Linked DNA regions of Styela clava. The protein of the gene in region 1 purifies or fractionates together with the protein of each later gene. This does not show direct contact. Links are inferred from orthologs where the notes say so. Each region holds a gene or a part of one and is shown in the gene's direction. Other genes may lie near its edges. The genes, in order: protein phosphatase 1 regulatory subunit 12B-like and serine/threonine-protein phosphatase PP1-beta catalytic subunit.

The links.
Region 2: the proteins of protein phosphatase 1 regulatory subunit 12B-like (region 1) and serine/threonine-protein phosphatase PP1-beta catalytic subunit purify together in Drosophila melanogaster (affinity purification with mass spectrometry; 3 studies listed by BioGRID, with this or other methods). This does not show direct contact. The link is inferred for Styela clava from reciprocal best matches to the Drosophila melanogaster genes Mbs and flw.

What each region holds. Positions count from the first base shown.
Region 1 is NC_135255.1:4,340,032-4,357,400, reverse strand, and holds the start of protein phosphatase 1 regulatory subunit 12B-like, read left to right. Parts: upstream 1-10,472; 5' UTR 10,473-10,559; coding exon 10,560-10,805; intron 10,806-17,369. Other genes in the region: uncharacterized protein LOC120330794, read left to right, coding at 522-768, 1,147-1,364, 4,070-4,151, 4,872-4,984, 5,531-5,710, 6,540-6,640, 7,448-7,633, 7,875-8,023 and 3 more.
Region 2 is NC_135250.1:14,150,252-14,167,409, reverse strand, and holds serine/threonine-protein phosphatase PP1-beta catalytic subunit, read left to right. Parts: upstream 1-9,510; 5' UTR 9,511-9,584; coding exon 9,585-9,636; intron 9,637-10,190; coding exon 10,191-10,322; intron 10,323-10,889; coding exon 10,890-11,120; intron 11,121-12,630; coding exon 12,631-12,735; intron 12,736-13,542; coding exon 13,543-13,614; intron 13,615-13,796; coding exon 13,797-13,948; intron 13,949-15,068; coding exon 15,069-15,203; intron 15,204-15,471; coding exon 15,472-15,573; 3' UTR 15,574-16,570; downstream 16,571-17,158. UniProt on the Drosophila melanogaster protein: Required for cell adhesion in non-muscle tissues and in maintenance of muscle attachment. Vital for larval development.

The sequences.
Region 1 (17,369 bases):
CGAACAACATGATCCCCAAGCTGTCCTTTGCTGATCAGCGGACAATTTAAGGTAGGTACAGAGCAGACAAGATTGTACCATGTTTTCTCGAAAATAAGACAGGGTGTTGTATTAAACAAAAAGTTGTTTTTAACTGTTCTTATCACAAATACTTGTTTTACAGCAAAATGCTTTTGGGCGATTTTTCAAGCGACGATTTTTTCTAGTAGGCGAAATTTCCTGTGGCGAGATTTCCTGCTGCAAATTTGTTCACGGCGAATTATCCAGACATGCTAACCAATTTATTATACCTTGGGTGAGGTACTGGTCATGGGATGTATAACCTGCTAATCCGACCCAGACTTTCGACGTTTTAAATGTTAGGCCTTAGAAATTGTCCCGGTAGAAATTGTTGACATGAACAAATCGAGTAGAAACAGTTTTTTGAGAATGATGAATTTTCTTAATCTTTCGATTTTGTCTGTATCTCTTGTAGACATATTGCGCAATTTTCATACATGACTAACTAATTTAATTTTTAGAAAAACTTCAAGATATGACTCACATTAATCATCTGAGTCGTATTCAAACGGAAAATACGGTCACTGATATGTTGCCTCATCGGGAAAACGTAAATGAACAGTCCGAGGACAGAATCGGCAAATCTTCTGCTCCTTCTGTCAATCCAATCTCTATTCATAATGATTATGATGAAAATACTAACGATATGTTCTATTCAGCGGAAAATGGTAAAGAAGTTGACATTCCTGCTGAAATGAAACAACTAAGGTAGTTATAAACAATTGGTCCGATATTTATGTAGGGATTTTTTGTATACTCTAACCCTGACATGGGCAAACTTACAGCCTGACAATTTAGTTTATTGTTTTCCACTTTTGCTTTTGTAAGACTTTAAATTTTGTTTGTAAATTGTAACTTTAAACGTCACACTTACATCGCCCCTGGTCCAGGGCTAAGCTTAGCTCCAGCTTTAACAAACTCCACAGCCTCAGCTCCATCCCTGCCTATAACATTATTTTTTACACCTTGAGTACATATTTGTCTCGGATTTGAAAACGAAGTATCTAACCTTAAATTCCTAGTTATTACAGAAATGCTCCTTAAATATTATATTAACGTTAATATCACTTATTTCTTTATTTACAGTCCGATTTTGGAAGCCAGCAACGAATCAGATAAATCTTCTGTTATGGGAAAAGCTAAGTCATCATGTGGAGAATCAGTGTATGATAGAACTCATGATCCATTGTTAATCGTTAACAATGATCCCCTCAAAATGAAAAGTTTCGGAAGCGACTTATCAAAAACTAATAATTTTGATCCATTGACTAATGGTACAGTTTCGAAAACGAATGATATCCTGGGTATGTCGATATTGGTATTTCCTTGCAGTTTTTAGAGTTTTTATTTCTGATATATCAAATTAATGAGTATTAATTAGGATTACGGTGAATCTGGCCATTTGAACAGCAGATTAAATTTTTTCATACATCACTTTATTTGTTGTTCGGTCTGAAAAAGTCTCTGCTCAAGCAGCCACTACTAGGTGATAGGCTACTATAGTTAGAAGGACAGGAATCTTTCTTGTTCAACCATGCCTACCCAATTTATTACATCCTGGGTTATATTGGGGGCATGGGATTCGAACCTGAGATTTTAACCTGCAATGGCGTCGTAGTTAAGTCCAACTATTCAGTATCGGTTCAATTCATACAAGACCTGATATACCAGGGGTGGGTAAATTACGACCCGTGGGCCGAATCCGGTACGCCGAAGTATTTCATCCGGCCCACTTGTGTCTGCTGAAATTACGACTGTACTTTTTATGGAGATAAAATATCAACAAAAATAATGACCCACCCCGATGGTTACATTGTGCTTATTATATAAACATCTGCCTAGCTGTTGTAAATAAACTTTTTTATTCATAGTTCAAATGTAAGACTCTTAAATCAAATAGTATAGTCAGGGATGGCCAATACCGAATAGTTCACTATTTCGAATACATTCGAAATTATTTTTTTCGAATATGAAATTTCGCATACTTCGAAAATAAAATCCACTAATTGAAGCTTACCTAAATGTATGTAGGAATTTCCATACAATAAGCAATGGAATAACTGCTATCTACAAGTTACAACCTAGCTATATTACCAGGCATTTCATATTTGCAGATTATTGCAGTATATAATTTATATACCATGAGTCATGTTAACAGAATTAAATTAATACGACAATAGTGGTATCGATGATGGATTTGAATATTTGCGCAACACAAAATCATCCTAGTAAAATGCCCATACTTTTAAATACCAACCATTATCCAAATTATTTGTCGAAAAGCGGGATAAAGTATGAGGCATTTTTCCGACTTGTGACAATTTTTTCGTGAGTACAAAAATACTAATCAAAAATTAATTATATTTGGGAACTTTACCACACATTTCAAGTCCGCAGATCGCCGTTGTATGTTTGAGTAATAATACTTTTATTATTTCATAAATAGGAAAATAGGAATTTAAAAACTAATTATAATCTGGTAGTTTATCACCCATTGTAAGTTAACAGATCGCCTTTGTATTTTGTAAATACGAAAATAGGAATCAAAAATTAATATTATTCGCGAGTTTGCCACACAATTTATGTCCACAGATTGCAGTGATATTGTGCCGAATATAATTAGTTTTGATTCTTATTTTCGTACTCACGAAAAATTGTCACGAGTCGGAAAAAGAATTTATATTTTATCCCGCTCTTGGGAACTAATTTGGAGAATGGTTGCCATTGGTTTGTATTTAAAAGTATGGACTTTTTACTAGGATGATTTTGTGCTGCACAAAATATTCGAATCCATGACCGATACCACTACTTAAAATGCCTTACCGTGTTAATTTAATTCTATTATCATAACTCAAATGTTGGTAAATCGGGCAGTTTACCACACATTTGAAGGCCACGGATCGCCGTTGCATTTTAGAATTATTAGTTTTATTATTTTGTAAACACGAATACGAAATTAATTATAATTGGGCAGTTTACCACGTATTTCATGTCCACAAATACCCGTTGTATTTGGCATTAATTCGCTAATAATTTTATATGTTTAGAACCAGATCATGTTAGTTTGGTAGAATCATACTCACAGAATTAACTATTTTCAACAATTGAGTGGTAAATTTAAGTTGTAAAGCGGCAATCATTTTGAACAACCTATTAACCCGAATGTTGAAATAATTTTGGAATGTGATAGGTACTACACTGTACGTCCACGGGTTATTTCACAGCTGTTTTCCTGTCCCTGTCGTGTTTTGCTGAATCGGCAAAACGAAAGGGTCACAAATCACTTTATCTTGGTGGACGTGTTTCTCTTTAAAGTAACGATAACCAGCCTGCGATTAAATATCATGATTGGCAGACCCTAAGCTAAGACCCAAATATAAGGTTACACAAATCATGCTTGAGAAGACTCATGCGAATAATAAGCAGGCCACATAGAAATTAAATATGCAAACGTGCAAATGTGTCGCAACACGGTACGGTCGCACAGAATATAAACAATCAAAGTGCCGATTCTATTTCATCGTCATTACGTGAGACAGCGTAAAGAGTCGTTTAAATATTCCCGTAAACCGAAACACCACGTTTACGGCAAAAAGTGGCTACTATTCGGAATTATTCGAAAATCAGCCGAAAAGGTATTCGAATACTTTGATATTCGAATACATTCGAATATTCGATTCGTTTTGGACAACCCTGAGTATAGTCATCTTTATTCTTGCCACAGCATCCTTGGTTACACGTATACAGATTCACTTCCACGAAGGCATAGAGCAGGGGTCGGCAACCTACGCCCGCGGAGCATTATAATCCGGCCCGCGACGCTTCACTAAATTATAGTTACAAAACATCCGTTTTGACGAATATATTATTTATACTAAATTATATTATAACCTAACAATTATATATTTCACAAAAGACAAAAGGTTGCCGACCCCTGACAAAGAGCATGGAAAAGTCTTGCGTAACCCCAACTGATACTTGAGTTAAATATTGCATTGTTGAAATTTAGATTTCATGGATTTTGGAGGTACTATCGATTGTGGATTGTGGGAATCACCACAAGCAGTGAAACCTCCTTCTGATGCTTTTTCGTGAGTAATTCTTTTTGTAATTTCATATAACGGTAGATTTTAAATTACTGGTATGTAAAAAACAGGGCGCTCCAGAATGATGTGTGCCAATGGAGGGAAACTAATTTTGTTCGCCTACTTTACATCAAGCTGTGTTACATCAAGGGAACTGAAACTTATGGGCAGGGGGTATATTCACTTAGCTAACACAAACAGTCACCGAACTCGTAATAGAACCAAAATAAGGAAAATCGGAATAAAATTATGGCCTAACCGTACCCAAAATTAGTCATATTTGAGCAATCTTAATTTAAAGTTCTGTGTATTTTCTGTATACATACATATGACTGAGAGTATTGTAGCAATAGGCTATTGGTTTACGGTTTTGCTAAACAAAAATATTATAGTTTTGGGGGGAAGATTCACTATTATGAATTGGTAAAAAAAAAAATAATTTTCAAACTAACTAGAAATATGAAAAAATCTAAAGATTTATTCAATAGAAATTAATGAAATTTTTCCAAAATATTTCATATCATTGGATATCAATGTCCATACCACAATAGATTTATATTCTATAATTTTGCATTAAAGTGAATCTACTTATTTTTACATAGTTGGTTGCTTAATTTAAGTGTGATCCCATCATTGTTGAATTTTTTTCTAAAAAGCGGATACAGCAACTCTCAAATTTTTATTTATTCTTTATTAAATTTCGCTTTTCAATTTTGTTTTCCACAGAATTAAACCAGATGACAATGTTTTTATAAGTCAAAAAATTCTGAAAGAAAATACGGAAATTGAAAAAATTTGCACCGATTTTAGTTCAACTTCAATCAAGAAAGCTGATTTTGGTGAATGCGAATTTTATTTTTTTGTCCGAAAACTTTTTGAAATTTCTTGTTTTAAAAAAATTCAAATTTATCTCATTTTTTAGGAAAATGTAGTTTATTATTACATTGTGCATTTTTGTGTGATGTCAGTGTCACAATAGTTAACCGTCATACTTATTTCATTTGTGATGTCATAAATTGGTATATCACAAAGCAGAATTATAATATGAAATAGAGAAAGATAAATTTTTTAATTCTTCAATCATCCTCAAAGCTTTTCTTATTTAGCATAGAACATATCTATATCTTAACTTTTGTATATTTGTTGGCCATTTTGCAATCCACACCTACCCAAGCGTTTTGCTCTGAACAAGGATCTGAATAAGCCTCTACTGATATCCAACAATATGTAAGCAACTACTACTTTTGAAAGGACTGGAATCATTCCAGTTTAGCATCACCTATTCAATATATTACATAGGATTTGTTGCTGAGATCGTTACACACATTATGTTTTGTTAAATTACTAGTGAAGGTAAATAATCCTTATTCTTTTTTTAAACTTAGAGGCGGAGAGTATTGCGCAATCATCCTTACCAAACATCATTGATGATCCGTGGAACAAAGATTTATTGAATTCAATCATGGAACATCATAACAATTTGTCAAATATCAAAGACACTGAGATACATCATATGGCAACCATGCCAATGCCTAGCATTCGCAAAGGATCAACTCTGAATCTAAGTATATCGTTAATTTTTTTGTCTTTTTTGCTGTAATTGGAATGTTAATTCATATTTCGATAATTTCGTTTTCAAGCATTTCACTCTGTTATTTATTTCGTTTTCGTATGTTTTAAATCAACTCCCCTTTTCTTGGTCTTGAAGTTAGCCCGAGTTTTATTTACGGTAATTTTAATTCAATGGAAAACCATAGTCATTTGATCATTTCCATCTTTCACATTTTTGTATTGATGAGAAGTTAAGTAGGTTTGGTTAGTTGGGTGTGGCACCTTGTAAGATTGTGTTTAAGAGAGGATATACTAATTCAAAATTAGCATAGCATTTTTCCTATTAAAATAGTTTGTGTGACATCAGGATTTTACTGCAAATATATATCCCATGTGTGGCTTATGCAAACATACAAAAATGTGACTGTGGATAGGATATTTTTTGATATTATGGATTCTAAAATAAAGTTTTGTGTTTCTGACGTTAATTTTATATTTAACCTTGATTGTAACCCTATCTTAGGACACTCAGCATTCGGATGAAAAAACCTACCTAGTTTTTATAAAAACGCTCCCTTTAGTTATTTTGCTTGCAATGTTGTATATTGTGAAGCTTACATATGAAAGCATAAGCATATATACATTTCAGTCAAATAATTAAACAAATCGTAATCAAGTTGATCTTAATGATTATAGTTGTCTAGTGAAGGCCATAGTTCATGGCCACCAGAGAAAATGCTTTTGCTCTCTTGTGGGCCGAGGGATCAGTCATCCAATATTAATTCAAGCAATGAATTTTTTTTTAATTTTAATTTTTCACATAAAACTCCTATTTTTGTTCAGATGGAAAGAATGTTAAACTTGGTCAGATGATTGGTGAAGGAGCATTTGCTAAAGTATTCTATATTGCTTCTAATGAAAATGATTGTCAGCAGGTTCTCAAGGTATGTTCAATTATTTTATCGTCATTGAATAGATTAGCAGTCCCCAACCTCGGGGCCACAGAGCAGTTGGAGAGGGCTCATAATGTTAGGCGCGAAACTTTTTTACTTTTCACTTTACAAGAAAACTCCCTGTTCTTCCTAGTTTCATTGTTTGACTAGGTTATTTCACAGATTGTTTTCTCCTTATTGAGCATGAAATGTTTCAACATAATGAGATTTGGAATCAAAATATCACTATAAATACCACTAGAATGATAAACAGGGAGGCCATGAGTGCTAAAAGCCTCCCGGTAGAGGGCCGCGAGCCCTAAAAGTTTGGGAACTACTGGAATATATATTTAAATTGTTTAAAAACTTGGACTTGGATAAAAGGAATCAGGGCCGTGATGTGGAGAAAAGTAACAGGCAGACATCAGAATTAAACTTTGAGATATTAAGAAATGACTTACGACTAAACAATCGCTTCAACATAATGTTCTAAATTAAAATGTCCCAAGTTTATATTTTGTTTCTTTAACTTTTTCTCCCATTATTTTACTTCCAGTTGACACTTTCAATTTTGGCTTTTCCGAATTTTAGCTTTTAAATTTTCGATTCCATGTAGTATTTAGTTTTTGCAACTTTAGGGAGTGTGGAAGTGGCAAGTACTGATCTGCATTTTGCGATATTGTGAATTTTACTAATTTAGCTTAAACTCTAACAACTGTTCCTTCAACTTGAACAGAAAAATATTACATAAATCACAATTATTTCCCCATTCTCCACTAAAACAAAAAGTTGTTCTGACTATTTTTGGGATGTTAATAGTTCTCAATTCAGGTTGAAACACCTTCATGTCCATGGGAAGTTTATATAATAAATCAAGCAAAGACGAGACTAAGATTACAAGGAATGTCTGATGTTGCTGATGCAATTGTTAATATTAATTCAGCTTATTTATATAAAGATGGGTCTTTGTTGACACTGCCGCATTATGGAAAGGGAACTTTACTGGTAAGAACAAATTTCGAACATAGAGATTCAAACCATAGCCAAAATGAATACTTTGGTTGTTTTTAAAATGGCTGTATATTTTAACTGTAATTATGAATACTAATAGTTTTACTATTCATCCCCTGAAGTTAACCTTGCGAATCTGAAATTGATTATCAGCTATGAAATTGCAAGATAGTTTAACACCATTCAGCTATACTCTTTGACTTTGAAATGTAAATAAATTCTCATTTATTTTTAGGATAAAATTAATGCAAATAAAAATGTAATGATGAAAGATGCAACTGCAAGGTGGATTGCAAATCAACTGATGAGAATAGTTCATAGTCTTCATACTGTCGGAATTATTCATGGCGATATCAAACCTGATAACTTTATGGTGGTTCCATTGTGAGTTCATTAATAGTTTATGTACCATGGAACGTTTGTAGTGAAGTCTTCATATAAGTTGAATGATTTTGTCTGTTGCTAATAACTCAAGGAAAGTCTGGTTTCTTCCTGTTGCCTCTATCACTTTTCCGAACTTTCTGGTCTGAATTCAAAGCTTGCTTCTGGGCTAAATAAAATCGAAATGGAGTGAGTATGGCTTTTTTTAGTACAGGGGTGTGCAACTTAAAACTAACTTCGGACAGCTAGCTGGTCCACACTAACACTTGGGTTTTTACGGATTATTATGTCACAATATAATATGGAACAGCGTAATACGTTAGCTACCTATAACCAGAGTGCCGTGGGAAGGCAAGAGAAGATAATACGGCTATCACTTAGCTTAGTATTGCAGAAATGAAGGCAACAGTCAAAACGGCGAATGATTTAACTCAGCGACAAGAGCAGAAAAACATGTAGTTTGGCCCACGTGAGCGCCTTTTTAAACATGAACTGTCCGATTAGGATTTTATGCTTGATGGGGAAAATATGAATGTTGACAAGACCCCCACTAAATGGCTTGGCGGGCCGGGTTTTGGCTTACGGACCACTTTGCACACCCCTGATTTAGTATGTTCTATTTGTCTGGGATTTCCCTCATTCGAAATAAACTATGCAACTATAATTTTCAAATTGTTTGCAGATCATCTGATTGTTCTGACTCCCTCACTGAGATTGGTGGGATCAAATTAATTGATTTTGGTCGATCTATCGATATGAATGAAATGCCGTATGGATCTTCATTTATAAAGAACTGTTGTACGAGTGCGTTTATTTGTGTTCAAATGCAAAACAAAGAACCTTGGAATTACCATGTAAGAGTGAATTTGTAACTATTTTAAATTACTGTCTTCTATATTTTTTACATGATATTAATACCGAAATATTATTGACACATGCTTATATTCACACAATATGCACAAATCTGTGAACAAGAATTCTGGTATACTTGCTACAAATTTTCAATTTTATTTTTTCCAATTATGATGATATTATTGGGCATGAATTGAACTGATGGATCTTCTACTAAATTAGCATTTTTAGGGTGTTTCATCCGCTTTCAAAAAATATTATAGCATGGTATTTGAGAACACATTTTATTTTCATAAAGTTTGCATTAGCAGAGTTTCTGTGTTAAAACAAGTATTCAAGTAACAATAGTTTGTGTCTGTATACATTTCCCTTTTTTGTTTATTATTTTTATTTTCAGATTGATCTATATGGAATTGCCGGGTCACTGCATGTTGTACTGTTTGGTTCCTACATGAAAATAAGAAAAAACCAAGACGGAAAATGGGAAATACAGAACAAAATTAAGAGGTACGCAGTTCGAATAATCAATTTTCAATCAAAATACTGCGTCAGAATATCATTTTCAAAGTCTATACGTTTTCATTCTCAGATGGTTTCACAAAAGTTTCTGGGCGAATTTCTTTTCCACTCTACTAAATTTCCCAACTCCGACAAAGGAGCGGCCGATCACACTTTCTGATTCACCCCTACCTCAACTTATATCGGAATTGGAAATGATGGGAAGAACAGATAGAGATGCTGTTCGTAATTTCTTCAATATGTGAAAATTCATTGCTGGTGTAACAGAATTCATAAAATATATGGTTGAGAATGGTGTCTACTGCCAGTATTTTGATACATACCATCTCTGGTTTTTCTTAAAGATAGGCTGTGTGAAAACAAAGACGTGCGATCACTGCCAACAAACAGACAGCTTATGTGAATATTCTTTTACAATGTCTGTTGCCATCACTAACAATAAATTTGAGTGTTTTCTGGTTCTTTTCCTGTCTTGGAGCCTATGTATTTTTGGGCCGTTTATTTGTACAGAATTAAATGCTATTTGATTGGTATGCTTTTATTATAGCTTGATGCTGTCAAAATATTACGATCTTCTTGAATATTTACAAATAAAGTTCTTAATGGTAATAGTTTCAAAGATGAATGTCTATGACAGGAATTTTAGACCACGGAGGGCAATTTCTATAAAGAATATTGGGCCAATTCCTCTTGTTTTTGGGAATTGGCGTTGAAAACATTACAATTTGTAATATGTACACCCGAAGACAATACGTCAAGATTGCAGTGCCCGTCGCAGGTGCTTTGTTCGTTGTTATTATTCTTCCATCATGCGAAATACGAAAGTGGACTGTAGAGGAAAACATTAACAATACAATAGATTTTTTTTATATTTTGCCCTTTGTTAATCTTCCGCGTCAATATAAATTTATTCTAGTGTATTAATGAGCGCGTGACACTCCTGCTATATTAGGCTCAAATGTTTAATGGAAAGGCGATATATCGCGCAATACTTTTTTTAACGCGGCCACCTCGTGGAGCAAATGCACTATCGCCTTGAGCTGTGAAGAAAAAAAGGCAAACGGAAGATTAATTTTGTCGCGCCCTCTTCTGGTCATTTGTGATGGAAATTTGCGAAGGTATGCGAGCGCTGATGACGTAGTTACGAGCAATTGTAGGTTGGGTCAAAATGGAGGACGATCGGTCCTTAACTGCAAAAGAAAAGAGGCAAGAACAGATAACTAGATGGAAAAATTCAGCTACTGATTTAGAATGTCCAACATATGCAAATCCAAAAGTGAGAGTCAAGTTCGACGACGGTGCAGTATTCTTAGCTGCATGTTCTAGTGGAGATTTAGACGAAGTCAGAATATTGCTCAAAAATGGGGCGGATATAAATTTTGCGAATGTGGATGGATTAACTGCTTTGCATCAGGTATGGTCATGTAATAGGTTAACTGAACGCTATTTAAGATATTCCCTCAGTCAAAGAAAATGCATAATACCAGAATTCTGTATCAAACAAAAATAAATCGAAACTCTCATCCTCCTTTTTTTATCAATTCAATTAACAGTAGTGACTAGTATATAATTTTTCCAATTCTTTTTCAAAACAAGTATCTGGGCATGGGCAAACTAATTTTTCTAAAACTTTTTCCAAACAAGTATCTGGGCATGATACTTGATCTCTTTTTTATAGAAAATACGGTATGCTTAGATTTCAATACTTCTGTACTTGTTGTTTATCAAATTCTTATACTTAACCACACTCTCCTAATTTTTTTTTGACGAAACAACAATAATCACAATCTTCGAAGTTTTGATACAGTTTTCATTATATCCAGATATCTGAAAAAGCAAATTGACTATTAACCACATGAATCCGTGAATAAACTATCATGATTATTTTGCTATTAGCAATTTACCTAATTAAAGTAATGTTATAATTATAAATAACATGGCAAAAAATATCTAAAAATATGCTGGCATTAAAAATATGATGACTGTTAGTAATCTCGACGTTGAGCTCTAACATTTTGAAAACAATAAATTTTTTGCCAGTTTTCTCATATTGTAGTACGGCACCTAACAGATCGAGCAACATTGTCCCGTTTCAGAGAATCCCATTTTGACTAAACACCCCTCTTTTCGAGGACGTCTGGAAATTGTTGTGTTTAATAATCTTGTTTATCTAATAAGAAGCACAATCTAAAAAATGTCATCATTGACTTCCTCTCGAAAAAAATCCGGTTTACTGAAGGAAATAAAATTTGCCGTGGCATTCGAGAGTTTGCAAAACAACTGCAATTTTGGTCATGTGACGGCTGTGATTAATTTAGATTATTATTGAGACAAGCTTGGCACGATATGACGTTGTCATCGTGCCAACTGCCCCTCGTTTGTGAGAAACATGGAGTGTTTGTTTTATTGAACAAATGACTGGACATTCTTGGAATTTAGAAACTGTGCCCGACTGTATTGAAATAGGAAGTTTGTAGAAATCCTTCAAATTGGAACACCTATTCAAACCCGGGTTAACATATCCAGTAGGCTGGTCAACGGTATAACATAAATGTTCTGTTACTGACCATTCATGAATGTAGCAATTAACTTTTGTTATCAAATGATTCATATTGCTTTGTTTGAAACTCAAGGCGTGTCGCAGGATATTTTGAAAATCGAGGTACAGAAACTCTATCTGACAATATTCTCCGAGCCTGGAAAGGCAATAAATTCTAATTTTGGTTTTCAAAATGCTGTGATGTTCATGCAATATTTATCATTACATGAATTTAAAACAATCGAATAGATTATAAAAATTCTTCAATGCTTCGAATAAATATTCCATGGTCTTGTACAGTGATACAGTGGTTATTAGCTGAGAGATTTTTTTCAGAATGAACTAGCAAAAATAGAAGTAAATTGGTACAAGAGAAGCAATTTTTCATTTCCAACAGTACAGTAACACGAGCATTGCCGAGCTAACAAATAGCTATTGATACACAATGATCAGTTCTAATTATAGAATTACCAAATCATGAATAAATTGAACAAAATAATTAAACTGAACTATTAAGAGTGTAAGCATGTTTTAAAAAAGTTTTGATTACCCTTTTTCTTCTTGTCAGTCTACTTAAAATTGTTCATCAATGGACTATTTCTCAGATAAGTAAATAAAAAATTGTTGTATTTTCTATGCCATATTGCTCGCCAACATACGGTGTCTCATTGATTACTGGAATTGTATGAGCAGGATTAATATATCACTAGTATGTCACTGACTCAGATGCTATTTCTCTGATACATCATTAATCAATATTGATATGGGGGTACATGAATATCATGAAAAACCAACCACTGGATCAAATTATTGGGTTAAATTTAGAGATGTTCATATTTGTATAGTTCAGGGGTGGGCACAATTTTTTAGTATAAGAGCCGCAAGCTGCAAGTCAGAACTTTAAAAGAGCCGCAGAATTTGTGAATTTATTAATATTATCGAAATACTATGAACAGAAAAGAAATTCACACAAGAGTCCAACAACAATAAATAGATAAACAAGGCAACTCTGACAACTCTGTTTTCATCTTCGTACTTTCGTTTTTTAATTCTGGACACATCGCACAGTAACTTAGACCAATGCTCTTTAACCGGGTATACGGTATACCCAAGTGTACACCAGACCATAAGTTGGGTATACAACTGATAAAGGGTATACGAAAGGTGTACAGCCTATAAAATATTCAATTGGATACAACAATGCAAACGCGGCGCACATGAAATGTAAAATGTTATTAACGCTAAGAACCAACGTGAGCACGTTGTTACATCACTAATTATATAGATAATACGGGCATGTGTCTGGGTTGGTGATTTCGGATGCCATGCACTTTGTTTGATTTACGTCGAACATTATTCCCGTCGACGCTAAGGCAGTCAGTCAAATTTATAACTTGCCGTCACTATTTAAATCAATTCACATGAAGTATTAACTATAGTACAAGGCCAACCAAGTTAAGCAATCTAAGTAAAATACAATCTAAAGAACAAGAACGAAACAGTTAAAACATGCAATGAAATATAATGTAATGTTCATCTCCACCCTCCGGCAGAGGCGCAGAGTCTTTTAAATTAAGAAATGTTTTGTTCAGTTCAGTTAACATTATAGTTCTCCTCAAGTCGTCCTGGCTTGTTGTAGGGCTGTAACCTCTGAAGCGCCCTAGGCAATCTTGGAGCTCTGCTGGTTAGCGATGGGCTCACATGATGACTTGGTTGTATTTCCACCGGAGTGTCTTGAGTAGTTCCTGCATTATGACTCCCAGAGTTTCCAATGTCTTCATCTCTCTCTCCGCTGGGGGGAATTGTTGGTGAGAATGGCATGATCGGCGGAGGTTGAATGATGATGCAAGGTCGTATAAATCGTCTGTTTTGTATAGTCACTCTTCCCGAGCCATCTACTCTGATTTTGTATTGTCTGTAAGGTAGGATTTCCACAATTCGACCAGTCCTGTTCCAGTGTCGTGGCTTGTTTGGGACTTGTGATTGTATAACGACTGTTGTCCCAACTGACAGTGGAGGGAGTTGTCTCGATGTGTTGTTATATTTGTCGATAATGATGTGATGGCGGTTAGCTAGTTTCTGCTCACGTTCCACTGCAGATATAATCCATTGTGGATGGGGACGGTAATGCTGTGGATTTGTAGGAACGTGATCCCGCAGTTGTCTATGCAGAAGTATCTGAGCTGGGCTGAGATCAATGTCTTGCAGAGGAGTGTTCCTGTATTGTAGGATTGCCTGTGCTGCCTTATTATTATTCAGAGAACCGTCAGGTGATGTGCTATCACGAATGATCCTCTTGGCAGTTTTAACTCCGAGCTCTGCCCGTCCATTAGATTGTGGGTAAGATGCTGAGGACTTTCGATGCTTTATTCCCCAATCAGTTAAAAAGTTCTGGAATTCGGATGAGGTGAATTGAGGTCCACCGTCTGAGTCAAATTCTTCTGGTGCTCCATAGGATGTGAATAACCCACGACATGAGTTGATGAGCTCTTTAGTGATTGATCGATGTGGTGGGTAATGAAAAATACTGATCCAACCACTGAATCTGTCTACAACAGATAGGTAGCAGTGGTTCCCCAGTACAAAGTAGTCGGCGCATATGTGTTGAAAGGGATACTGTGGCGCCGGGCTCGATATCATTGGCTCTTTAGTTTGAGATGGAGCGTATTTCGTGCATGTGAGGCATCCAAATCGAAAGTTTCGGATCATGGCGTTCATGCCCGGCCAATAGACTGATTGGTTTGCTCTTGCTTTCATGCCTGTGATCCCTTGATGCGCAGAGTGTAGTGACCTCAGTATGGTCTTGCGAAGGGGAGTGGGAATAACTATGCGAGAGTCCATTAGTATTACATTGTCTTTAGTTGATAGGCGATCTCTCACACCCCAATAATCCCGGATTTCAGGCGGTGTCCCATGTCTTGTGTTAGGGAATCCATTCTCAATTGTTTTGATGAGTATGTTGTAGCTTTTGTCAGACTTTCCATGGCTTCTAATGTGATCCAGGGTCACAAGCGCATCGTCATCATTTATTGAGTTGATGACAGATTGTTGAATTGCGTGAACACGAGCTTCGCACTGCTCTGTTGTTGTTACTTCATCAGATGATGGGTCATTTCGTGCTATGTCCATCACTGCATTTTTCGTATCTGTTATTTCCAAGGCTGTGGGATTGCGTGATAAAGCATCGGGTGCTTTGTGCCATTTCCCTGGGCAATGCTGCATTGTGAATCTATATCGCAGGGTGTGTTCTTTCAAGTTTTGTATTCGAGGATTTTTAATACTATCCAGGTCTCGATCTTTAAAGATTCCCAATAAGGGTTTGTGGTCAGTGGACACAATGAGGTTTTGGCAACCTAAGGTAAACATTCGTGCGTGTTGTAAGGCCCAGGATACTGCTAATGCTTCTCCTTCAGTGGGTGAGTATCGACTTTCTGTTGGCGTGGTGAACCTGGAGTTGGCATAAACCAAATGCCAACCATCTTTGCAGCAAATAGGAACTTTATCGATCGAGCAATCACAGTATTTTTGAAGAAGAACGTATCCGATCCCATCTTTGCTCCAGTCACATTGGAGGCAAGTTGCACGTTTTGTGTCAAAGGAACGTATGCCCTGTTTAACTGTCTCACACAGTAATTGTTTTGATGTTTCAAATATTTTTTCCAAAGCTTCATCCCAGTAAAATTTTGAGTTTGGCTTTATGAGTTCACGAAAAGGTAACATTATTTCACTTATTGAATAAGCCCATGAAACTTGATTAACTAAACCAAACCAAGATCTGGCTCCAGTGATGTCTTTAGGGACTGGGAAATCTCTAATTGCTTTGAGAAGTTCTGCTGATGGTGTTATGCCATCTGGTGTTATGTTGTATCCTGCGAATGAGATTGTGTCTCTGCAAAATTTAAATTTCTTTGAATTCAGTACAATGCCATTTGTTGCGCATGTTGCTAGGTAATCCCAAGTGTGGAAGAAGGCTTCTTCTATATTTGTATCATATAGTAGCGTGTCGTCAACGCATTTTACTTTGCGAGGTGTATTGTTTATAATATCATCATAACGTCTTGTGTATGCATCTCCAGCTGCAATGAATCCTTGAGGCATTCGTTTGTACATGTATCTTCCCCATTCAGTTATGAAAGTCGTTAAATGCTGACTTTCCTCATCCAGTTCTATGGCGTGATATCCATCTACAGCATCCAGTACGGTCTTTTTAGTTTTAGGAGGTATCTGACATGCCAGTTGAAATGGTGTCTGACAATGATGAGTTTCTCTCAATGACTGGGAGTTTAGGTGCTGGAGGTCTATAGTACGTCTGGGTGTGCCATCCTTCTTTGCAATTGTTACCATTCTGCTGCACCATTCAACTGGTTGCCCTACAGGGACAGGTTCTATAATACCCCTTTCTACATCTCTGTCTAGACTGGATTTCACTGCTTCTTTCCAGTGGTATGGTACTGGAATAGGAGTATGATGTGCAAATGGTTGAGCATCAGACTTTAGGTGAATGTGGGCTGGGGGTGCATTCATTTTTGGAAATGGTGTGACATTGTTAAATGCAGTGTTTGCAAATTCCGCCAATAAGTACTTTTCCAGTCGGGGGACGTTCGTGTCCATTGGTGGGAATGGCAAATTTCTTGGTCGTTTTGGTAATTGGCCCAATGAATTCTCACTAGTGGGGATGTCTGCTGTGCTAATTTTTGCCACGTTTGCTTCCATTTCCATAGGGTAAGGAAATGCTTTAGAAAGGATTCTGGTATCAATGCAGCCTTGGCGACTGAAGTACATACGATCCACTTTGTTACAAATGTAAACTTGTTGTGTGGTAGAGTGTCCACCAATTACAAATTTGACCGGCAGCCAGCCGAAGCAAGTCAGTGTTGATCCTCCAACTGCCGTCACTATCTTATGACATTTAAGCAACTGATTTTGTTTGATTTGCATGCTCTGCAAATGCTTTGGGCCAGCTAAGCAAATGTTTGCTCCACTATCTGGGAATATTAGTACCGTGCATGGTTTCGAGTTGCGATTCTGAGGAAATGGATGTACTGTTGCTTGAATTTCATCCATTCCATGTTGTCCTGTAGTAAAGCAGTGACGTTTTTTGTTATAACGTACATGAGCTAGTAGGGCATTAGCTTCTGCTTGTGGTTGGTTTTTCTGGGGCTGATTCACCTGTCGGCAAACTCGAGCAAAGTGATTGAGCTGTTTACAGTTGGTGCAAGTTTTCCCCCAGGCAGGACATTTTGTTGAACGGTTCCTTGAACCTGGAAATCCGTGAGATAGACTTCCACAACCTGCGCATGGCCTTTGCGATTCGCGGGTGTTTGGTGTTTGTTTGTTGTAAGTTTGTGCCGCATATACTTCTGCGGTTTTCTGAAGTTTTGATTGGTCTCTTACAGCGGTTTCAAAGGCTTCTGAATGTTTGATAACATCTTCTAAAGT
Region 2 (17,158 bases), on another chromosome or scaffold:
TGGACCACATTACAGGGTGTGGTTGGATACAGTCAGCGGGCCGGTCAAAATCACATCGCGGGCCGGAAGCGGCCCGCGGGCCGTATGTTGACAACCCCTGGTATAGGTACTCTCGCCATTTTCTTCACAATAGCATGTTGGTATCCAACTTGTTTCGTTTCGAACAAACCTGTATATATATATACCGTATTTGCTCGTTTACTAGCCCGGGCGCTTATTTTTTTTAAACATACTCACTACCCGGGCCCTTATTCAAACCGGCCCATATTCAAGCAGGGGCGCTTGTTATTTTTAAAGTAAAATTACACACAAAAATACCGGTAGATAAGATCGATCGTTATTTTTTTTAAACATACTCACTAGCCGGGCCCTTATTCAAACCGGCCCATATTCAAGCAGGGGCGCTTGTTATTTTTAAAGTAAAATTACACACAAAAATACCGGTAGATAAGATCGATCGTTACAATAATTAATACCGTATATTGTCATTTCCAGTTCTCAAGTATGATTTAAACGAGAATAATGAAAATTTTGACTTTTTCTACGCACCGCAGGTACAAATCCGCAAAAAAAAAAAAACTTTTACACCGGGCGGGTATTCAAGCACCGGCCCTTATTTATTTTTATGTCCTGTTCACACGGGCGGCTATTCAAACGGGCCCTTAATCAAGACCGGGCGTTAAAACGAGCATTTACGGTAACTATTTTTTTGGAATCTTTAGTTTAAAATTACATTACATAGTTTTCTAAATATAACTTACTCAAGTTGCAAGGTGAACTTTAGAGTCCTTAGCTAATATTCTTGCTTCGGATTTTCGATAATTGCTCGATTCAGACAATATTCACCTCTCCCATTTTTGCTAGTTGTTAGTGGTAAGATCCATGTCACAAAAATAGATTGTTTTCAAATAATTATACAAATATAAAGCGTAAAAAGAATTCAGAAAAACAATATCATATACGGTAAGTACATTTGCTTCACTATGATGATGTGATGGAGAACATTGAGATTTTTCTTTTAGTGCTTCCATCATGGTTCTAACTTGATATAAGCACATTTTTCGCATTTCGCATGATTTTTCATATCGCTCCAGGTAATTATTCAGTTCAGTTTCATACCTTTGACAATTAAAATAAGTCAGATTTATGTTTGACAAGATTGAATGAATGCATGAACTAGATTCAATACAAGCAGCAAAGGATAATTTACAATCTGTAAAGCCACTATATCATTTCAATTTCAGAAAATTCTAGCTCCAATGAGTCATCTCTATTTGGATAGTGGATGCCACCTCCCTCGGCATCACAAGCATTTCCTGCTTTATTACGAACAAAAAAGATTTTGATGGATTCACTCTGCCATTCAATATAGTCGACATTATTCATATAGTCACAAAATGACGTGAAGTGAAACACGTTGAAGATGGTTAATACGTTGGTAACCCGCTAGGCCACCTCGACTTGGTAATGACGTGCCGCAGGGGAATGTACTGATATGGGGTAGAGTGGTAGACTACTTCAATATGGCTCTGATTATGTGAAGTCTTCGCATTTAACTGCAACATTTACAGACTTGACACTGTCTTCCCACGAGTTGGTACGCCGTACGCAAGGCCAGTGAAATACAGTGATTTTTCCCAAGATGGATACTATACAAGCGGCTCACGCCAAGGGGCTGCCACTCTTGCCTGACTTAAACAAATTCTAGTTTGACCTCAAAAAACATCTTGATTGAAAACCAAAGCATTCAAATAAATATATCTAAATATGAAGTTTTTAAATTGAATGAAAATTAACGAAACAAGAGCACACAAAGTTTAATATATTACATAATACTGTATTAGATGTCGAAGAAGCTAACATCTGTTGATGTTGTTGCTATAGAGCAGGGGTTTCCAAGCTTTTTTTCAGGGCGACCCCAAAGACAACTTTCAATTGTCCAGTGCGACCTCAGGTCAATATATATATTTTTCATGGAACTCTAGAGCTTCTTTCATTGGACTTTTGAGATTGGTCATGTGGTGGTTTTAAGTGAAATAAACTAAAATCAAACAGTGATGTCACAATAATCACCTACATTTCTTATAGCATAAGCATAGCCATAGAGCGATGCTTATGGGCCTGTTTTACAGTAAGCCATAGTACAATCTGCTAAATTTAACATGGTTTGTCAAATCTTAGATGTTTTGTACATCCACCCTCAACCATAACTCAGCGACGCCATGACCTGTTTGCAAACCTACCTACTTATCACTCCGACCCAATTTGCGGTCGCGACCCCTGGTCTGGGAACCCCTGCTATAGAGAGATTTTTATAAGTTTCTGCTGTACCTATTTTCTTGGCATCCGAATCAGGTAGCTTATAAGACGTGCAACATTTTTTTTAATCAGGCCAAATTTAATAACTAGTATTGCATTCAGTAAATCTGTCTTCATGCTGTTCCTTAGTTTAATTTTTGCATGAATCTGTTTCTCAAATTATTTTTGCATTGTTCATTGCACTATAAATTCTTTTATTATCAGCATTTGAATGAGATAGTATCACTGCTTGCTTAGCTTATTCAAAGAGTTCTGAAAATGGATTATCGACAAAGGCATTTTTGAAATCCTCAGCTTCAGTCCGAAACTTTCCAGTTTCTGTGTTATTCTTTCACTTTACAAGATTAATGTTTTGTAGCTGATTTTCTGCTTATAGGGATAGCTAAATAATGGCTGAAGTATGTTGCTGAGAGAAAAAAAGATACGTTATTTAAAACAGTTTTCAGGCAGTCTGTAATGAGAGTCCGTTGGATTTCATACCAGATACTTTTGATTCAAATTGGTAATCTAAATAAGCCTCGATTGTATAAGTGAGTGGATCAGCTTTACAAAACGACGGACTAATTAGGTAATAACAGTGTTTAAAGAAATGTTGAACGTAGAAAATTCTTTTCCTCTCCTAATCATTGCTGCTGCTCCATCAGTTGTCAGTGAAATGATTGATTTAGATCCAATATTTCTCGATTCTAGCATGCTTTTCATGGCTTCATGTATGTCTTCTTCTCATGTTCTTCCTTTGAGGGTAACCATACCCAACAAATCTTGCATAAATTTTTCCTCACTCTCATCATGACACCTCACAAATACTACAAGTTGAGCATTGTCATTCATGTTCAAAAGTTGAGAAAAGACCGGCAGATGAAAAATATCTCCGTTTGACTAACTATGTCATCGTGGATGCAACCAACTCCCATTGTTCAGGAAACAAGTCTCGGGCAACCCACTGATCTATTGTCTCTAGTTCCTGCATATTTTTATGGTTTATTAGCTTTGTACTTCGTTGGATCGTCGCTAATGAAAAGATCATCTTATACAAATTTATCATGCTGAGACATGGTGACAATAAATTCCACACAATAGCGCCTACGAAATTGGCCTGCATTTTATGCCAGACTCTTATTGTTCTCATTACTTTTGTCGCATACAATTTATGATTACCAACTCGAGTGTAAACAAAGAATTTCTACATATGTCGTTTATTGTTTACCTTCTTAGAACCTAATCCTTTTGTGTCGTGGCCCAACCCAACGGTGGTTTTTGGCAGGTTCATGTCTAAAACAAATTTTTACTTGTTTCGTACAATCTACTGTAAAACACACAAAAATGCGATTTATACTGGGGTCGGGACCCCGGAAAATCCAGATCCCAAAATCCCGGGATTTGGACCGTTTTTTTCAATACCGATCCAGCAATTATTTTTTAAAAATCCCGGGATTTTAAGGCTTTGTAGATATACATATAGATATTCTCACAAATGGTAGGTTATACATAGGCCTACCATTTTATTTAATACTTACTTTGAAAAAAAAACCTTCCACGCTTACAGTTTGAGTAAGTCAGACTAAGTCAAATTTTACCAAGGAATTATTATTTGACTAGTAGAATTGTCATTATTGCCGACTTATTTAATCATAATTTGAACTCAAAATAGTACTCAGGATTCACCCGATGACTTTGCATGGTTTTTATTCACTATTGGATACGAAAATAAAACAGCCACAGTAGAAAAGTATGATCAAAAATCAAGAAGGTTAACTATCGTCTTCATAATTATCTGGTTTTTATTCATTATTGGATACGAAAATAAAACAGCCACAGTAGAAAAGTATGATCAAAAATCAAGAAGGTTAACTATCGTCTTCATAATTATCCGCATTCCGGCGTCAGAAATGATAATATTTTCAGCTCAAAATTGGGACAGTTAATTTACAAACGGTGACAAGAGAGATCAAAGCCGACCCAAAAGATAAAAATCGGAATAAAATCCCGAGTTCAACTCGATATTCGACAATTCGTTAAAATTATTCGATTCAGTGAAAATATACTACAGTACTTTGCCCACCCTTGCGATCTGTAATTATTGGACACGTAGTGGACATAACGATCGTTTCAATATTATGTTGTTGTTGTTCTTGTTCTTGTTGTTCTTGTTCTTTGACACGTTTTTAAAAAGTCGCTTTTCTCTTCGAATACTGGACCAATTGCTTTGAAATTTTCAGTGGTTAAAGATAAAAATTTTCTCCAGAAGGCTATTACTTTTTTTTTTCGCTATGACGTCATCAAAACTATGTGACTCAACGTGTCCATATATTTGAGCATAGCTCTCTTGTAGTCTAAACGCTGATGCAATGAAACTTAATAAAACCTTCAGAAATTTAGAAAAATTCCTCTACTTCACAAAAGCGTGGTGGAATTGACGATTATTTCATTCATAACTTGAACACGAAAACGGTTATCTTTTTTTTACCCGAACGTGAAAAGATACGTCCAGCGGTGAAAATTGTTTATAACAACTTTAAACCTATTTTGTGTTTTTGGCGATAATGAATAATTGTTGTAATGAAATACAGTTTGTTTGCCTCTTTCCTTTCTCTCGCAAGTGCCGACAATAACACTATTAAATGATTTTGGCAATGGGAGAAACGTATTGACTCGTAACAACAAGAGAGCTATGCTCAAATATATGGACACGTAGAGTCACATAATTTTGATGACGTCATAGCGAAAAAAAAAGTAATAGCCTTCTGGAGAAAATTTTTATCTTTAACCACTAAAAATTTCAAAGCAATTGGTCCAGTATTCGAAGAGAAAAGCGACTTTTAAAAACGTGTCAAGCGGTACTGAGTTAGCAGTCAGGCAGCATCTTACCTGTACACTCACTGTAGGCCATATACGGTAATTGATCACAGAACAGTTGTTCCCTTGCAAATTTTATGTTGTTTACACTTTAGGACAGATAATTGATCACAGAACAATTCTTCCCTTTCAAATTTTATGTTGTTTCCAGTAGACTCTCATCAAAATAAACAAATATAGTAGGCTACAAGTGCTACAACGCTTGCATTACTGCACTGGTAGGACCGTGAAAGAATAAGTTACGGTAATTTCATTGTGGTAAGACACCGGTACCGGCACCAGTACCAGTATCGTACTTACGTACTGAGCTACCAGTACCGGTTAGCAGTCAGCCAGCATCTTACCTGTACACTGTAGGCCATATACGGTAATTGATCACAGAACAGTTGTTCCCTTGGCAAATTTTATGTTGTTTACACTTTAGGACAGATAATTGATCACAGAACAATTCTTCCCTTTCAAATTTTATGTTGTTTCCAGTAGACTCTCATCAAAATAAACAAATATAGTAGGCTACAAGTGCTACAACGCTTGCATTACTGCACTGGTAGGACCGTGAAAGAATAAGTTACGGTAATTTCATTGTGGTAAGACACCGGTACCGGCACCAGTACCAGTATCGTACTTACGTACTGAGCTACCAGTACCGGTACCGAACCTGTAGGTCTGATATTCCGTTCCGCATACGATAGGCTATAAAACTTGCATTGCAGCATTAGTAATACCGCGGAAGGAATAAGTCAATTTCACTGCGTTACGGTACCTGTATGGCAATTTACCAGTACCGACCTACAGTAGCTGTAGTACTGAGCAAGACAATCGATCGCGAAACCGCTTGAAATAAGTGTAAAACAGTGTTCCATGAGTAAAAATAAATACCGCGAAATTTTGTATGAAATTTCATATCTCATAGGATTCATATGAAATTTAAGAATAAACAAAAGTAATAGCCTTCTAGCGAAAAAATTAATCTTTAACCACTGAAAATTTCAAAGCAATTGGTCCAGTATTCGAAGAGAAAAGCTACTTTTTAAAAACGTGTCAAAGAACAAGAACAACAACAACATAATATTGAAACGATCGTTATGTCCACTACGTGTCCAAAAATGAATTGGGTTGTGAAAAAGTGAGAATACGAGTGATAACAAGAGAGCAACGCTCAAATATATGGACACGTGGACTAGAGCGAAGCAGGGTTTACCTTTGACGTTACCGGTACTGTACCCTCAAAAAGTTCCGGATTTTCAGTCGCAAGAATTTTCACAGTCAGCCGTCACGCTTGGCGGATTAAAAACCGTGTTCCCATAATTAAAAATAAATACAGCGCAATTTTGGATGAAATATTAGATCTCATAAGATTCATAGAAAATTCAGGAATAAATGAAAGTAATAGCCTTCTGGCAAAAAAATCAATCTTGAACCACTGAAAATTCCAAAGCAATTGGACCAGTATTCGAAGAGAAAGGCGATTTTTTAATGATAATGACGAAAGAAAATAACAACAAGATAGCTATGCTCAAATATATGGACACGTAGCGCCCCCTAAGGGCAATAATTCTGATGACGTCATTGCAGAAAAAAAAAGTAATAGCCTTCTGAAGAAAATTTTTATCTTCAACCACTGAAAATTTCAAAGCAATTGGTCCAGTAATCAAAGAGAAAAGCGACTTATTAAAAACGTGTCAAATAACAAGAACAACAACAACATAATATTGAAACGATCGCTATGTCCACTACGTGTCCAATAACAACAAAATTTTGAAACGATCGTTATGGCCACTAAACGTGTCCAATAATAAAAGCATAACGTGGAAGGGCGAGCAAAACCGAAGCGCGTGATCGGCGGTGCGTTTGAAGACCACGTATTACCCATGCGGCCGCGCGACTTTTACAACAATGTGAGGTGTTGCGAAGACGCTTTCGTTTGCTTTAAATTTGTAACTATTAACCATTTGTTCGTGTTCAAATATCGCACTCTTCATGACTAGAAAATGTTCGTGTTTTGTGATAGGTGTGCCACGAAAATTGAAAGAGCTAACTAGTGTGCCACGATTTAAAAAACAAGAGAGCTACGCACAAATATATGGACACGTTAGACCAGAGCGAATCAGTCCTTACCGGTACCTTTGACGCTACCGGTACCCTCAAAAAAGTTCTGAATTTCCAGTAGCAAGAATTTTGCAGAATCAAAACGTACAGCCAGTCATGACACTGACTAAAATCCGTGTTCCCATGGATAAAAAATAATACAGCAAAATTTTAGACGAAATATCAAATTTCATAGAATTCACGCAAAATTTTGAAATAAATAAAAGTAATAGCCTTCTAGCGAAAAAATTAATCTTTAACCACTGAAAATTTCAAAGCAATTGGTCCAGTATTCGAAAAGAAAAGCGACTTTTTAAAAACGTGTCAAAGAACAACAACAACATAATATTGAAACGATCGTTATGGCCACTAAACGTGTCCAAAAAGGTTGGGAACCATTTACTTACATTTTTTTTCAATTTACATATACTTAGTTCGACTTTTTCTTCTTTATAATATAGTATTAGTCTTATTTTATGGGCGCCGGTGCTCAATAACCAGTACTGGTTTCCCGCGTCTCCTTCACCCTGAAATATGACCTATTTATAATTTATTGCAATTTGTATGTTTGTGCCTATTTTGAAGTATGGTGAAAAATAAACTACTTACTGATAGATGCTTTAATATTTCCGCGCCGATATTACATGAAATAAATACGTAATTTTATTGTCATGCAAGTTGTTTCGATCTTTTACTTGAACCCGAAAAATCCCGGGATTATACGGCTCAATCCCGGAATATCCCGATACCGGGATTTCAAAAACTGGTCCCGAAATGCTAACCCTAATTTATACCCTATTCACATCAGAACCTGGGAGATGAACGTGCCATAAACTGCCTATTGTACATATCATCATGGTGCAGTACCTCTTTGTCCTGTGTATTGTACAAGAGTTTTATTTGTATATTCATGTCTGTTGTCCTACTATACCGGTAACGCAGCAAAATTCGGCTGTTGCTCTGATGCCTCTTGAACTTTCGTCCGAGAATTTGATTTATACCTGCTCGCTGTTCATATTTATTTTCAGCTAATCGAAATAATTCCGATGCGAGAGATCGCTGGCGTTTGTACCGTACGGTACCCCTATTTGTTTAAGTGGATGCGGACGCCATAACGCAAAAAGCTCTATATATATCATGTCGTCACGTTGACGTAATGTTTGGATTACATCATCAGATGGGGCCAGGAATGACATATGTAGAAATTGTTTAGCCACACCCTCTAAAAGTATTACACTGGACGTACGTGAGACCCACAGACTTTTCGGTCACAAAACGTTACTGGTACCGGTACCGTTACCGGTACTACCGTATGGTTCGTTCTTCAATCGCCTTGGGAGTTGCGAAAACGAGAAGAACGGTACGTGCCTACCGTACCTACCCACAACTGCATAACGATACAAATTACAGAATCATGATGTAACTTTAGCTCTAAGTTGAATAATGCAAAATAATTTCAGTTCTATACGGTAACATTCGGTGACTGGCTTGATACAGTGATACCGGTACCGTACCGATACCACACTTCTTGAACAGTGAATGTTGCTTTTCTATTTATTCTTCCTCAAATCTGTATGTGGCAATACAGCAATATCTGAATATGCAGAATAAATATATATTTTCTAGAATTACGATTTTGATCAGATCAGCAGATAGTCTACCTACAAACCTACTGACCTATTAAACCTATTACAGTATTACCAGTATCAGATTTGTTTCTACAAATACAGCTGAATACTGGAATAGTGAATACCAGTATTTCACTGTTTTGTAACAGTAGTCTACACCTGCAGAAGCTTCAAACCAGCCATGTTGAAATAAATCACATATTCGAGTACATGTAAACTAGTTATACTGTACTTCATACTGCTGTACTGTCATACAATATATTTATTCAAAAAATTCACCATTACAAGCATTTGATATCAAGATGGTTAGACCTAATCCGGCATGTAGGCTATATAATATAAAGTCTATCTGAGCAATGTTTGCCTTAACTATACTGCAATGCGAAATTCAATCTTCATGGATTCACCCTGATTTATTCGAAAAATAAATTCAATTTTATGCATTTTTGCTCCGAACATTTTTAAAGTCAGAAAGTGCTAAACTGTTTTGTATACTTTGAGTTTAATTTTTTGCCAAACATTCATCGACAGCATGTTCCTAAAACTTGCAGTGTGGTGCCATCTTTTTTTTTAAAAATCATTCACACTCTTGTGTCATCCAGAATCAATTGGCGCAACTAACGATTTATGATTTATTTTGAATTTTCATTCTAGTCTATCATCTAGTTATTGATTTTAAAATATTTAAAGAACATGGCAGACAGTGAACTAGATGTTGATGGATTAATAAAACGCCTTCTTGATGGTTAGTACTAACTTTTTAATTTCAATTCCAAGATATGATTAACTTCTCTAACCAAATAGGCTATCACCGGCGTGGCAGTGTCAGAGTGTGGCTCATCGTGATAAGCGTTAGTAATACGCTCGACCACTGCACCTCTGATTACTCCTCGTGGGTTTCTCAGGTTCAACATGCATGGATGGTCATGTGCGAGAGGATTGCTGGACTCCTCGCCGCCGTAGGGTGGTTCACGTAACCGCTGGTCGGTTATGGCTTCCTCCACCATCAAGTCCATGCTTGCAAAAAATAACTGACTAATCCCATCCCCGACATTGAATGGTAACCGGACGAGAGGCCGTGGTTTGTCATATGGTTAAGCCGTCTTATCGGCTTCCCTCTCCCCCAGGATAAATATGTAAATCCTATCCTATTATCTTTTTTTCATTTATTAATAAAATATGGGTTTATGCAGAAGAAACTGTCATATAGCCTTATATCACCTTCTGACCTTACTGCAAGATCTTTAATGCTAATCTTACTTTGAAAGCATTTCGTAAACACCATTCTCTATATTTCAGTTCGTGGGGGCAGACCGGGGAGAACAGTACAAATGACAGAAGCAGAAATTAAAGGTCTTTGTATCAAATCAAGAGAAATATTTTTAAGTCAACCTATTCTTTTGGAGTTGGAAGCACCATTGAAAATATGTGGTGAGATAAAATCATGATCTTGAATTTAGTTTTCCTAATTTAAGTATGTGATTTTATTGAGAAATTCAATCAAGTTCAACTGAAGTTAAGAGCTAGGACAATACAATATGGCACAGTTCTCCGATTCTAACATAACTCACATATTGAAAGATATCGATCGATTACAGTTGAGTGCAAACCCATACCCCTCCTTTACGAGACAGTCTGGGCCTCTATATAGGCAAAAATTAGCAATTCGGAACTGTGCAATAAAACTAAAAGGAAGAGCAATCTAAAAACACCACCATCGCATTTCTCAGAAAAAATAATCCGATCCGGTTTGTTTTATAGAAACAAATGTCGGAAAATCGTGGAATCTGAGAACTTTCCCTACTGCAACAGCTCAAATGAATTTCCTTGACAAATATAATACAGAAAATAATATTGTCTATAATGTCACAAGAATATTCTTTTCTTAGTCCAACTGTACAAATTGATAGACCAATCTTTAATCGAAGAATTTAATAAATAGAATGTAAATATGATGATCATACCTGATTCATTATACGAATGTTTCATTAATATTAGGAGACATCCACGGACAGTATACAGATCTATTACGTTTATTCGAGTATGGTGATTTTCCGCCTGATTCTAATTACCTTTTCCTCGGTGATTATGTGGATCGAGGAAAACAATCTCTAGAATGTATTTGTTTGTTATTGGCATACAAGATCAAATATCCTGAAAACTTTTTTCTACTTCGAGGGAATCATGAATGTGCCAGCATCAATCGTATATATGGATTTCATGATGAATGTAAGTAGGAGCATATATCAGTTTGATATTCTAGAATTTCACTGTACAATTTTTGATTTACGAAAAGTGTAGACACCAAAAGTCTGATAGGGTGGTTGTATGCCTTTATGTTGGAATGTAAATTTGAATTTTTTTATTGTGCAGTATGTTCATTAATCATTAGTCTCAATTTCTAAGAATATTATCACTTTTAATTTGATTAATCATAACACTACAGTATGACACTATCTATGTTGATTCGTGGTATTGATTACAGTAAACATTGATTTAACAATGGGGGAAACCATTGAATAGGAGTAAATTATATTTTCTCTGTGTATTAATTAAGCAAGGAAATTACGGCATATAGAATATGCTGTATATCAAAAGTAACCTTTAATAAATGATAGGAACTAATTACTGTTGTCACAGATAGACTAAACTTTGATAAGAAGGAATCTTACTTTTGATAAATGGGCAAAATAAAGTCAAATTTTGTGTGTGCAATGTTTTGCGACTCTGAATCCAGTTTGGACCGGTGATATTTGTTACTGCAATTTTATTTGGGAAATTGTTAATGAATTTGTTGATTTTTTTTTTACATATTTATTTTAATAAAAATTAATTACCAAGTATACTAGTATGGATGTAATTTTAATATTTGTTTTTCCATATTATCATTAATAATACAATATTCTTCTTCATAAATTGGATAAAAAAAATTGTTAACAATTTGAGTACCAGTAAGTCAGTAACTTGCGATAAGTGATAGATGTTACACGGTTTTCTAAATTCTTCAAACAGTTTTTATAATAATATACTATACCTATATAGATTGTACAGTTTATACGAAACCGAAAACACCATTTGCAGTTATAGTTCTTTGTAGCTCGATGACAATGGAAGTCATCCCATTTTATTGCATTATGTGCTTCTTCCTTGGTTCACTATTTATTTTGATATTTATGTTTTAATTTTCTGCAAGTTCTCACACCTTAATTGACATGCTGAAACTAACTACTTATTTAATAAATTTCTCAGTCACAAATTATTCTACTTTGTCATAATAATTAAGTCATATTTTCTTCAAGCCACGATATCTAACACATACTTTGCCGGCATAATTATTACTGTTGTACAAGACATTTCATTAACCTCATTTACCTCAGGATTAGATATCAAATTTTGGTGCGTGCTCTTTTTAAATCACTCGTTAACACAAGCACTAAATAAGGCCATTATGGTAAAGGAATCCTGTTAATAAGATAGAATTTGCTTGCCTTCTTTTCTCGCATAGCCTGTAAACTCTTTCTTATGTTGTTCTATTCAGAAAAAATTCAATCATGCGATATAAAGGTTGCATCACGTTTTATAAATGTTATAATGTAAAGCATTAATTGCGTGTAATGTCAACTAAAACTTTATTACTTCATCTTGCCTGCTTTTGAAACTAGATTTCATCTTACTTACCGGTACATTGTCATATATCCTCATTGACAATAAGATTACAAAATTTTCATCTATTTTTCAGGTAAACGTCGATTCAACATAAAACTTTGGAAAACTTTCACCGATTGCTTCAATTGTCTTCCTATAGCTGCTATTATTGATGAGAAAATATTTTGTTGTCATGGAGGTGAATGTTTACTCAGAATAGATAGTGATTTGTTATTACTTATATTATGATACATGAGTTCATAATGATAAGCATTATTAATCAAGATAGTATAAGTTATAACTAATATTGTTTTTCAATGGAAGTTATTATTAACAAATTGAGATTAAGTACATGAAGTTTAAATTATTCAAGACTGTATAAATAAAAGTTTATTTGGATTCCATAATCAGCATGACATGTAACAAAATAATAGATAAAAATAAACAAATAAAACTGATTATAGAATCAACAGAGCTAACAAAATCTGAGTAAGGTTTATTGAATAAAAAATTTGAATAAAAAAGTGTTTTAGTGAGATGTGGTACATGTTCACTCATCTGCAAATTACTGGGCGCACGCTCACACACATACAAACTAAAGAGATAAAATCAAAACGAGAATAATTTAGGATATTATCAAATTGAATTAAAATAAAAAACCATAACAGAAGAATTGTTTGCTTGGTGTGATTGATTGTTCAATGTAATTGATCTTGATATATGGCCACCTATTTTAATGAAAACAACAGCAGTATATGCGTGGTAAATTTTAAAGTGAGATTTCATTCGTTTTGGTTATAAACAAGCTTTCTCTACTCTGTCTCAACTCTCAAGTATGAAACGTTCCTGTTATAATTTTGCCCCTCTGTTCAAGTTTTATCTATATTTAGTAGCCTACTTGTACATATGCGATGTTGCATATATGAAACTGCTTTATCGAATATATGCAGGATAGTAAATTTTTCAGTAATGGTTTTCTGTTTACCATCTGTTTAAATCTTTTCAGGATTGTCGCCCGATTTACAAACTATGGATCAGATTCGTAGGATAATGAGGCCAACAGATGTTCCAGACACAGGTTAGTTTTTCATTGTTGCATGGTAGGACCCCGACTTGTGTTGGAAAAAATCCAAAACCCACTGGCAGTCCTATTAAAAAAATTAATGTTTATTATGTAGTGTAGTTTTTTTTCACTTTGAGAATGTATTGGACCATAACGAAGTATCAGTATCTTTCAAACGGTTTTCAATTTTTTATTAGGACTTCTATGTGATTTATTGTGGGCTGATCCAGACAAAGACATAGCTGGTTGGGGCGAAAATGACAGGGGAGTTTCATTTACATTTGGCCAAGATATTGTCAGCAAGTTTTTAAACAGACATGATTTAGACTTGATATGCAGAGCTCATCAGGTAATTTTCAAACTTTTGCATTCTTTTTCTTGTGGAATTTATTTTTAGATTGATTATCTTGTAAATTTGTTATCAATAACATTAGGATTTGTGCGAAAACTATTCTACTAATATTGTAGTATAATAGCCAATATATAATATACTACCATATATAAAACAGAGAGCAGCCTTATTTTTTAATTCTGCCATCTTACCTGCAACTGGCAGATCAGTATGAGAATGTTTTATACGTAAGCCGTCTCTTCACAAGTTCAGATAATACATTTTCCTTGATTCTTTGGATTGAACAGTATTTAGATTTCAACGGACAGGAAATTTCAACTTGGATGCAATTCAATCATTCACGATAAATATTAAACCAGGACTTGTCTCTTCATAGATTACAATGGTGATTGATGTATTTTCGATAGTAGAATACCTGGCCAAAATGAATATGAAAAGCCCACCCCACTCCCAGTGGCAATTACCTGGAAAAATTAAAATGGCACATTGGTGTGGTGTGGCGTATCGTGCTAAAGCGTGTCAGGAATACGCTTGCCACGGCACCTCTGATTACCCTGCGAGGATTCCTTGGTTCGAATCATGTGTAGAATAATTATGTGCAAGCAGATTGCTGAACTCTCGCTGCCGTTGGGCGGTTCATGTAACCGCTGATTGGTTCCAGTTGCCTCCACCACCAAGTTCATGCACCCCAAAAACAAATAACTGGCTAACAAAAGTCAAATGATAAATTTTTTAAATTATCAAAAATATATTTATATGAATATTTGACTAAGGGCCGTGTTTTGGGTCTTTGGTTATAATGTGGATTGTGGAATATATTCCAATGTGAGGGATACTATCAAATGGATTTGCAAACTGGATATTTACTGACTTTAAGGAGGTTACATAGTATGATCTGAGTGATTTATTCCAGCATATATTATGCATTTTATCCTGCAATTATTAAATTTCATAGAGATATTTCTCCAGAACAAAAATATAGTCTCAACAAGAATATAGTCTCATGTGTAAATATTAATCACTGAACTTATTATATGCATTTGACTCTATATCACAATAAATGAAATACCGTTCGCTAGCAACGGAATAAACCAAACAAATTATTTCACATTGAAAGGTTGTTGAAGATGGATATGAGTTCTTTGCAAAACGCCAACTGATCACACTGTTCTCTGCACCCAACTATTGCGGAGAATTTGATAATGCCGGTGGTATGATGAGTATTGATGAGACATTACTCTGCTCATTTCAGGTACGATATGCAGACTATTATATCTAAAATGATGCCATGACTTTTTATTTGAGGGGATAGTTGCACTACACATCTGCACCAATACTGGGAGATTAACTGAGTTAGCATAGAACACTGTAGATTGTTGACAGAATATATCGTAACATGCAGTCTTGAGTGTAGATAAGGCTAAAGTTCAGACTGACATCTATATTTAGATTGGGATTTGTAACTGTGAAATTAATTGCTTTCTTATTGTGTTCTAAAAGACGGAATTTTTTTTTTCAAGATATTGAAACCTGCTGAGAAGAAAGCCAAATATCAATATGGAGGGTTGAACTCTGGAAGGCCGATAACTCCTCCAAACAAAATTAATTCAGGAAAAAAATGATTTTGAAAAAGAAGTGTTTTCAAATAAACAATACTGCACTTCCATGTACTGAACATGCTACACGTATGCATGCACATAACAGTATTTACCACTATAAAATAAAGATGTAACGTTGTATGGTAGCATTGCAGTTGCAAGAGTCATTGATGCTTGTACAGAAATTATATATACATACTTTCTTTTTCTTCTTAATAACATCAACAAGGGGGCAATATATATACCGGTAGCTATTCAACCTAGAGGATAAAATATAACTGTAAGATGCCCAAATTCTATGATTTGCAAAAAAATTTGAATTTGTCATGGTTTTACGTGCAATTGATTAAACGTTGATTAAGCACAGGAATTCTGGCCGTCAGTTACTCAATGTGTATAAGTGGATCAAACAAAAATAAGCTGTTCCATCAATATTCACTGCATGTTTCCATCTGATTCCTGAAAACATATGCTGCATTTATTTATCACTCTAACATGGCTATTCAGATTGATTGTTTCTTTTTATTGCTATAAACCTTCAAGCAATGGTACCAAACATTAAGTAGATTACACTATTGACCATGAGAAAATTCATGCTGTCTTTGGGCAGGTTTTATCAGGAAAATTCTACAAATTTTATTTTCCTGCCTTACACAGCATTATTGTTGATTAACCAAATAATTCAAATTGTGGAGCTCGATGCCACATTTTTATTTGACTGACATTTCCTGCAAATGATTTGATTGTGCTGTTTTTTAGTTTTATATCAGATGCCGCCTGAAGTATTTTAGGACGAAGTCGATTCTCTTTTTTTTTAACCTGTATTTGCTTTCTTGTCAATACTAATTGGGGATCGTTGTAATGTCCTTTATGCTTGGCGAAATCATTAAATTTTATTCCAGAAGATGCCAATCTAATTATCACTTACCCTTTAATCAGAAACCAAATTTGGAATAATTTTTTAGTAGATTGAAATTGTTTTGTTCTGTACTTGAATTAAAATAAAATGATTCTTTTCTTATTAGGTATTATCTTATCCAATACAAGTGGGGGATTCGGCAGGGCAGTTATATGTAGTAACTGATAATTAAGTGACCACTCTGCCTTCGATCATTTCACAACCCAATACTATCGATATCGACCGTCGTTGTGCGAAAGGAAACCCGCGATAGGATAGGATTTACATATTTATCCCGGGGGAGAGGAAAGCCGATAAGACGGCTTATCCATATGGCGAACCACGGCCTCTCGTCCGGTTACCATTCCAAGTCTGGTATGGGATTAGTTTTACTGTATTGTTTGTTTTCGGAAGCATGGACTTGGTGGTGGAGGAAGCCGTGACCGACCAGCGGTTACGTGAACCACCCAACGACGGCGAGGAGTCCAGCAATCCTCTCGCACATAACCATCCCTGCATGGGATTCGAACCTGCGAACCCACGCAGAGTAATTAGAGGTGCGGTGGCGAGCGTGTTCCTAACGCTTAGCCCGTTGAGCCACACCGCCGCGCCAGTCAAGTCAAATGTCCGATGTGTGTGACCACTCTATTCCTAACACTAAAATCTATCTAACAATGAAAGACTCGCCGATATTAGCGTTAGTCCATAGTT